2 linked regions of the Drosophila melanogaster genome follow. The protein of the gene in region 1 interacts with the protein of each later gene in a pairwise test. Each region holds a gene or a part of one and is shown in the gene's direction. Other genes may lie near its edges.

Region 1 (5,035 bases):
TGAGCCAGCTTAAGAGAAGTATAGTCATTCACTGGGATTTTTAAACAGAGTCAGCCACTCTTAGAACCATTTTACTGAAAACTTATTTAACTTCAAACAACCATCAACTAAAAGGGATGTTGACATTTCTTGATATTGTTACGTTCCTAATAACATTGAGAAGCGCAGAGGGGGTACTGTACATGTGATATTATTACTTAACTGCCATCAAAGTTCTTTGCAGGACTTTGTCACATTTGTGAAATAATCAATATTCAACACAAATTTTTCAATAAAATATTCTGTTTTATTCAAGCAAACTAAAAATTAACAAAATGGTTTAAACATTGCTTAGTTAATTAATCTACTATATACATGCATATTGCTAGATTAGGCAAACATTAGACTGCATTACAGTATTACACAGCAGAGGGTCAAGCGGTCTCTCTGAATCTAAGATAACTTAAACGTAGACTAGACCATTAATTTAACTACGCACTAAGCCGATTGGAAGAATCGCGTGTAACGCTATAGGGAAGCACTTGGAAGTGTTGGAATTGCAAGACCTACAGCTACAGTATTACTTATACCATTAGGAAGCACATCTGTCCAGCGTATTGCTACATATATATATACAAAGAACCTTTCGTTGCTCGTATACTATAAACTTAATGTTAAATCACAGTGGCGAGATTTGATTTTGACGCCTGCCCCAGCGGTTCACAACCGACCCAGTGCAGACGTGCGCCTGCAACAGCCAAATAGGATCCCCAGGGACCTCGGATCGGGATCAACCAGTTCATCTGGGCGGGCAGAAGCTGAAGTAGGGGAAAAGCTGGCAGTGCAGGGAGTAGAAGCGCTTGGGATCGGTTTTCATATCGAAGCCGTCCACCTTGATCACGTTCCACTGGTTTTTCATGTGGGCATAGCTGAAGGACACCTGGTCCTGGAACGTATCCTGGCGTATGAACTCCATGGGCTCCAAATGCGAGTGGAAGTTGTCCACCACGGTTAGAGGAACTTTCAGAAGGTGTTCTGTATATAAAATAATATATATATAAGTTCAGGGTCACTTTGGCTTACTCCGCACAAACTCACCAATAATAAAACCCATTGTGACATCATCCGGAAAACGTATCTTGTCGCCAATGCTGATAAACTTGCCACCACCTGCTATGGGTAGCATTTTTAAAGTCAGGGCTCGACTGAGGCAGAAGCCAGCGCCGCCAGTGGCGAACCAGAAGGTTATCTTCTTGTTTGTTGTCGTGTTCTTCTGCAGGTCGAAAGAAAGTGGAGAAGAGGGCCAAGATTAACGGAAGAACTGGTTCATGAATGGGTAGCCCAAAAAAAGAGGATGACTAAACCAAAGGCTAAACCCAAATAAATATCCTTTTTTTTATCTTCGTCTTATTTCTGGTTTTTGGCAATGGCCCAGAGAAAATTGACTCGAAATGAAAACCGAAAAAGAAGCTTAATACCGAAACGTGGCTTGATTAATTGACCATGTAAATGGACATGTGCGAGCTGGAAACTTAATACATGGGTCTGGACCAAAAGTAAGCCGAGACTCGACAGGATCTTTCTCCCGCAAATGAAGCGTAAAGTTTGGGGTTTTTAATTATGCACGCTGCAGCGATCAGGGCTGGATTGGTTTGGTGTGCCAGATTTTGAATGGATTTCTGAGCACGCAGTTTACCTGGTTGCTTTTGCTCACATCCCTGGCAAACCTGGCTAAACCGATAAAACTATGGCCTGTACATTCATTACGGGATCAGCTCGCGGTATATCAAATGGATCGGACTGAAAAACGGGTTCAAATTCGGACTCAAACTGGGACTCGTATACAGACTGCTGCTGCTATTGCTATTGCTATTGCTATTGCTGTTACTCTTTTGCCGCGCCAGATCATATCGGTTATTAATGATAGCTTGCGCTGGCAGCTGGAAGCCAAATGGCGGCATAGACAAATGGCCCTGGTGGTAACATAAATAACGGCCACGGTTCGGCTTTTGGGCCGGGCCAGAAGATGGAGAAAGGCGATCGCAGTCAGGCTTGTAATTACGAACTATATAGGAAAATATGCAAAAATAACTGGCATTTGCACTTACGCTGTCCAAGTGGATCTCCAGCGGCGACGAGATGCTCGGCTTGCCCAGATACCAATCCACACTGGGGCTATACTCGTCCAGCAGTTTGACCAGCCTCGGCACATTGACATAGTTGTCATCGTCGAAGTGACAGAACCACCTGGAAAACAGTATCAGAGTTAAACACATTCGAATTCGAGTTCACTCAAACTAAAATTCTTATATTTCTTTTACTATATTTGAACAATTAAAAACGTGCAAAAATGCCAGCTCATTTGGATTTAACCCTAGAGGAAATGACCAGGATTGCTTTGGGTGTGCCCGAGTTAACCCACGTAAATGTGGCTGTACTCCAAAGTCTTTTGAATGTCCTTCTCAAGAAACTGAACTGTCAGAATGATATGGTAAGGATAAGTGGCTTCGAGGGCAAGTGTATGGAGCGCATTCTCGAGCAATCCAAAATATCTCCACTGCCCTTCGACGTGGAGGCTATTGTTCCAATTTCCGAGCAATTGGATAAAGTTCAAGAGTTGGACAAACGCATCAAGCAGCTGGAGTGCAAGTTGGAGTGTCACTTTCAGCAGATTCGCATTTGCAACAAGGCCAAGGACAAGAAGTACAAGATCAACCAGGCCGAACAGTACGCCTCTCCTTGCGAGGATCTGTGCACCGTTTGCGATGAGGACAACAAGATCGCATGCAGTCTGCTGGCCAACATGGACTTCATGAAAAAGCTAATGCGACGTATAGCCACACCCATTCTGGACCGAATGGAAGAGGTCAGCCACAAGCTGGAGAAGTTCTACCTCACACTTGAGGCTTTTCTTAAGCAAACCGAAGCTTTATTTAATCGTTTGGAAATAGTCAAGCAATGTGTGGTGGAGATCGAAGGTCTGAGGACTCTTGTTCAGGAATACAACCTTACTTTTCTGGGAACCATGGAGGAACTGCAGGATATGCTCGACAGCAAGCTGGATAAGGTGCATATGCCTGCTCTTAAGAAGTATATACGCGATCGCTTCGATGATATAGATCGCCGGCTGAGATTGATTGAGGATAAGGATGCATGTCCCAGGGCCGCTGGATTTATCAATACGGGGCTATCTTGTCTATCCTGTAATAGTCCCAAAGTGGGTGTCGACGTCGGTCCTCAAACCATGGGACTATTCCCGGACGCTCCGGTCAGGCACCTGCCTCCCAAGTTAACCGGATCACCGGTAAATTGTCAGAAGATCGTGGTCTGTAGATCTGTGGAGAAGGAACCTACCCTAATGGTGCGAGTAAACAACCTTGATCTGAGTGTCCTCTCCCAACGTCTTGCTCGTCCTGCCTCTGGCAAAGTCTGCAAGTTGCCCGAAGCTAATGACGCCATCTATGGCGTTCGTAATTCCTGTATATCCGGTCAGGACCACTACCCAGTATAACTTACAGCTAGTCGCCATCCAAATCGATTAGTTTCCGCAATAAAGAATACAACTCAAGGCTGTGTCCGTTAAGCCGCATATAAAAAGTGCACTAATTTAGATTGCAATTACCCGGGTTGAAGGTAAGAGCTATGTCTGCAAAGCCCAGAGTGCAGCTGCAGTTTTTATAGTGACAAACGATCAGCCATATCCGGTAGCCCACGGTGGACTAATGATGGCATTAAGCGGCAGCTGAAAGGTCCGCGCTGACCATCATTATCGTAGGCTTCGCTATGGGTGCAGTTCCCCTTTCGTTGAGGGGATCCCCTTAAAGATGATATTGGTAACGCGGGAATTTACTTGGATTCCGCAAAGGGGAGGCTCGATAAAGAGAAATTTATACACTGCAATTCCGGGTAATCAGATTTAGTACGCTTTCTGCTTAAATTTTGGCTGCAATATTGTGGATATCTAGCGGACAGGTATCTGTTAAAATAAGGACTTACATTGAATGGATATTAAGGGTAACTACTAGAAGCTAAAACCAATAAATGGTTCAAAAGAAATGTATATTTCTGTACATGTGTAGAGTATCATCTTCTTCGACTTGCCAAGTACATTTCTGGGGATTCGCGACTTTCGCCGAGCTCGTAAGTATTCAATAAAATCGAATCTTGGAGGATTGGCTGGTCTTGGGTTTCTTGTCGTTGCGTCTGTTGGGTAATTTAATATAATTTTTATTGCATAAGACTAGAGTAGACAAGGAGGTGGAGTTTCGTGTGTATGTGTGTGGTACTCAGATAGTCAGTCGATGCTACTCCCAAAGCCTGGCATTCATAAATTGCCTGGTCGGATGATGTTGCTGCTGTTGTCTACGACTTTGGCTGCTGTTGCGGCTGCCACATGCGATACCTGTGCGAAAAGGCCGCAACTCCCCGAGTTTTAACAACCTCTTTACCCCTCCTACATCTACGACTCGCCCACCCCAACCCTTAGTTTCTACGTGAGGCATAAAAATGCGCGTTTAATTTGCTTAATTATGCACAAAGCACAGCCCCTCCGTTTTTTAGTTCCCCCTCTTTTTAGTTTTTCATAGGCAGCTGCTTTCCCTGCTTCCAAATTGAAATCTAGACGCTGGTTTATGTTCGATGTCGTTTAATTAACGCCAGTCCCCCTCTTTGATTTCATTGGCATTTATGAAAATGTTTTCATTCGGTGGTTCTTTCGATTCGGGTTATCAATTAGGGGATCGCTGATGGTGGCTTTTCTCCGATTCTCCGTGTCGAACACTGTTTGTTTATTTTGGGTTTGTCCGCTCTCTGTTTCTTTGTTTCTCACTGCATCGGATTGCACTAAAATGCACTGAGGGAAAATAATATGTTTCACAGAAACTGTCATTACTTGTGAGGCTTGTAGGCTTTTAAATAAACGCAATTGATTGATAAACGAACTAAAAGTTTTCATATCCCTTGAACTTAAGTCTTTAATATTAACCACAATAATCATTTATTTATTATTATTTATTATTATTTAATTCAATAGTTATCTATTTAATCAAGCTACTTT
Region 2 (4,389 bases), on another chromosome or scaffold:
TAAAGCGTCACACCAAGGGCCCAAATCTCCAGCTCGGGACCCACGTATCTGTTTCCGGCCAGAACCTCCGGACTGCAGTACTCCGTCGTGCCGTAGAACGTGGAGAAGAATTTTCCCTCCTCCATGAAGGTCGCCGATCCGAAGTCAATCAGCTTTATGGTGAAGTTCTGGTCAATTATAATGTTCTCGTCCTTGATGTCCCGATGCAGTATCTTCTGTTCGTGCAGATAGTTGACGGCATCGGCCACCTGACGAAAAATGTAGCTTCCCAGCTTTTCGTCCATCAGGGGCCGCCGCTCTATGAACGTCCATAGATCCATTCCGGATCCGTGCTTCTCCATGACCAGCTGGTAGAATAGATCATTTTCGAAAACATCGAGAACGGACACAATGTTCTTGTGGTTCAGGGTCTGCAGCAGGTGGATCTCGATAGGAACTTCCTTGCAGTCGCGGCTCTTAACCATAAACTGAGAGCAGAGCTTCTCCTTGAGAATAAACTTGGTGATCACCAGCAGGCGGTCGCTGTTCCGGAAAGCCATATTCACATACCCATAGGCTCCTCTTCCGATCTGGCGGATGGACGTGTAGTATTTGCTGTAGTCGCCCAGGTACAATTCGTCCTCGTACTTGGACACCAAGGACAGAGAATTGGGTCTGCTGGAGTTCTGGGCAGCGGTGGTCTTTATCACCTGGCCCAGCGACTGCTCAACAGTGCTGGCCATGCTGTTGAATGTGGACGTTAGGTTTGCATAGTTGTACTTCTCACCGTCCAGCCGAGTGCTGGGGTTGCGGCACACCCAGATGCAGTACACCCGGTTGGAGCAGGGCAGTATCTGGAGGAGCACGGAGTAGACTACCTCTATGACGGAGCCATCGGCGTGAATGGCCTCCCCCACAAAGCTTCCGTTGATGGAACTAAGCAGTCTGGTGGCGGGATTGCTGCCGGAGGCATCACAGGTCTCCGTGGACGCGGACTTCGCCTTGTCAAGGGACGACTCATTCACCTGCGACTGCGATCCTACCTCAAACTCGTCAGCGGGGAAACTGTTTGAGGCATTTACAGGTGTTAGAATGTCATCTATTGTACAATCATCTGGCTGGCGGAGGTCGCAGAATAGACCACTGCTGTTCTCCAGATTGCAGCTTAGGTGGGCATCGCCCACCGAAGACTGTTCGTTGTTGGGCGCCGTCCTGTTAGTCGAGCTCTTCTTGCAGGATTGCAGCGAGGAGTCGTTGTCCACGACGAGGGGATCCGTGTCCGGCTCCCAGTCGTTACTGGTTATCGAGGTGTTCGAAACATTCGGACTCTTCTCCTCGCGAGAGTCCTTGCCGAAATTGGGTAGGATCGCCGATATATGCATGTTCATTATCTTGTCCTGACCATATCCGAACATTAGCAGCGAGAAAGGCTGGTTGCACATCAGTATGTTGCCTATGTCATCTACCACAATCAGGCCACTAAGATTCTGGAACACCCAGACGGTGATATTTAGACCGGTTTTTCCCGAATGGGAATACCCCGCAGAAGCATCCTCGTCCAGGGCTATTAGCAAGCACAGGGGAAACTTTACGTTATCCGTAGTTCGACCAGTAGCTCTCTGCTTCCGCAGGCTCTTGGGGATCTCACGGCTATCCGGATCGGGCAGCTTTATAAACGGGATAAGGGTGACAATGCTGACACCCACCACGCTTTCGACGGATTCATAAAAGAATATGGTGGCCGTGGTGGAGTCAACGGATGTTATCACTCCGGATCTATCGGTGCTGATGTGGCAAATATGCCTCTCCACAGGCTCCGCGACGGCTATGTGTCGGCCATCGCTGCTGATCTGCCGGATCCAGAGAGAGACCAGGATCTTGCCGCCCGACTTGGTCTTCATCTCGATGACCTTTCCACTTAGCAGGACGACCCGGCCCTCATCGCCTTCGATCTGCATCTCCGCCAGGGAGGAGATGTGGCTCTCTGTCTTGCCGTTAAGCAGGTCGAAGAATCCCTTGTTCCTCAACTCCTGCGACGTGTAGCCCAGCAGCTGGCAGGCCTTGTTGTTCACTATAAAAATTTGCCCTGTGTTCGCGTCGATTGTGAATATCGCCTTGTTCGGGTTGATCACCTTTGAGGAGTGCAGATTGGGGGGGGGCATGCTGAAGGAGCTGGCGTCCATCATGTTCAGCATGCCGGACGAGTTCTGGCGACTCTGACTGTGGCTGCCCATAATGGGGTCATCTGGGAATTACACGATTTTTTGTAAATAATTTAGTACCGCTCTTGAGTGTACATCTATATAGCTTTACCATTAGCACATCGGTTTCTGGAGCACTGGGCATTCGAACTACTCAGCTTACCAGCGGCTTGGTCTGTCACGTCGCCCTGATCCTCCATTTAAGCGTCGTATGTTTTCCAAGTCCCAGCGGTTCCAACTCGAGGCCTACAGCTACAACCAAATGAGCGCACCGTAAACATTGGGAACTCTGCTCGTAGAAAATCAATTGAATGGCGCATGCGAAAAGGGGAATTCCCCAGTGGGTCGAACGGAACGCAGACACGTTGAATTGGGCTGGCTTTTGTGGGGTTTCCTTTTGCGTTGAGGTGTCTTTAAATCACTGTATTCGAAAGGTTGAAAATTACACTTGGTTTTATGTACTTTAATGCGAACAAGTTATATATATTTGAATGTCCCGCTAACCCTTAGCCTGCAGCCCTGGCGCCGTCATCGATATAATGGCTCTGGGTATCGATTGCTGCCTAGAACGCACTTACTTACATATAAACTGGGCCTAGCTACGTGTGGAAAAATATCGGAGAGAGCAATACAAAACGTATTGTTCTTCCAAACAGGAAGGTTTTTTTTCGTTTTCCACAAAGTATTCAGTGCAGTGCACACTCGAATATAGTTCGAATACGGTGAAAATGCCACGCATATCCGAAATAGCCGCTTCCGTGGGGCTGCTCCTGCTTATCGGAGTGATCAGTGTGGATGGCCTTGTGAAAGAGGGGGATTACCAAAACTCCCTTTATCAACAGAATCTCGAGTCGAACTCCGCAACAGGCGCAACGGCTTCGTTTCCATTCCTGATGCCCAACGTTTCGCCCCAGACCGTAAGTCCAGGTTCCTGAAAAACGCCATACATATACATCATGGAGTTCGCTCCATATGGATGAACAGATTCGCCCAGCTGCAGCTGTGCGCATACAATTCCAATCAGATTAGAAAAGTCCTCGATATAGGCTCTGGTTTTTCCCGTATCTTCCGCGCGGGGAAAACCCATAAGAGTACTGTGCAAATTTTTCCATATGTTCAGTTGTACCCGAATACACACAATTCGCCACCCACATGTAAGGCCCTGAAACCGAAACCTGTAGATTGCACTTCTCGAACCTGCGCCGTAGATACGAATTTGTTTTTACGAGGGTGGCGAAAAAGGGCAAACGGCCCACTGAAGGCCATACTCCCATTTGAATAATACTTGTTGACTTATCCAATATGCCTGTTCTCTCTAACAAAACTAACAAATATATATATGTGTACATATATAGCCCGATCTGTACTTGTGCACGCCCATCAAGGTCGACCCAACTACCACCTACTATATTGGTACGTCCTTTCGAATGAGATTCATTCCTTAAATACTTCAACTAACCTTTCTATCTTAAATAGTTGGCTTCAATCCTAATGCCACGATGAACACGGCCCACCATATGCTGCTCTACGGATGCGGAGAGCCCGGAACCTCGAAGACCACCTGGTGAGTTGCAAGTGATGTTTTCAGACTAGTAAATAACACGCACATTTTTGCTCACAGGAACTGTGGCGAGATGAACCGAGCTTCCCAAGAAGAGTCTGCCAGTCCTTGCGGACCCCACTCCAATTCCCAGGTATTAAAAGAAAAAGAAATGTCCAAATAGGCCCCCAGATAGACACCACACATTTATTGGGCCGACAAATTTCGGGGACTCGGGACTACAGTTTGGCAGGCTGCGCAAATGGGTTGACCGTTCTCGATCCAGAATTCCCGTGCGCTGATCCTTTTGCGGCAGTGGTGGCACTTAAAGCACTTGGCATGCCACTTGGTGCTCAGCGCGACCACGGCTCGACGATCGATTGGCTTCTCACAGCCTGCGCAGCGGGACGAAAACAGTTCCCGGAAGTGCGCCTTGCAGAACAGGTATCCGTTGACTTCAAAGAAGCTCGCCGAGACCAGCGACTTGCTGCAGCTCACGCACCGGAAACACTTTTCGTGCCACTTGCGCTCCGCAGCAGCCACGCCGCGCTCTAGGATCGGAGTCCGGCAGGCGGAGCACCGAGCGGCATGCTTGTCCAGATAGCACTCGCTGCAGACCACGTCGTCGTCCACCGCGAAAAACAGTTTAGGATCAACCACCAGGCCGCA

Evidence for each region. The genes of interacting proteins can lie anywhere in the genome.
Region 2: the proteins of CG10589 (region 1) and Phm interact in a two-hybrid assay, tested with the Drosophila melanogaster proteins (one large-scale study listed by BioGRID).

The regions. Positions count from the first base shown.
Region 1 is NT_037436.4:20,925,622-20,930,656, forward strand, and holds CG10589 (uncharacterized protein), read left to right. Parts: upstream 1-2,226; 5' UTR 2,227-2,329; coding exon 2,330-3,490; 3' UTR 3,491-3,569; downstream 3,570-5,035. Other genes in the region: fng (fringe), read right to left, coding at 779-1,014, 1,078-1,252, 2,088-2,226.
Region 2 is NT_033778.4:23,986,822-23,991,210, reverse strand, and holds the start of Phm (Peptidylglycine-alpha-hydroxylating monooxygenase), read left to right. Parts: upstream 1-2,755; 5' UTR 2,756-2,908; coding exon 2,909-3,097; intron 3,098-3,535; coding exon 3,536-3,593; intron 3,594-3,656; coding exon 3,657-3,744; intron 3,745-3,801; coding exon 3,802-3,874; intron 3,875-3,902; exon of another isoform or gene 3,903-3,927; coding exon of another isoform or gene 3,928-4,389. Other genes in the region: Pask (PAS kinase), read right to left, coding at 1-2,224, 2,293-2,380; CG30178 (uncharacterized protein), read right to left, coding at 3,928-4,389. UniProt on the Drosophila melanogaster protein: Monooxygenase that catalyzes an essential reaction in C-terminal alpha-amidation of peptides. Produces an unstable peptidyl(2-hydroxyglycine) intermediate.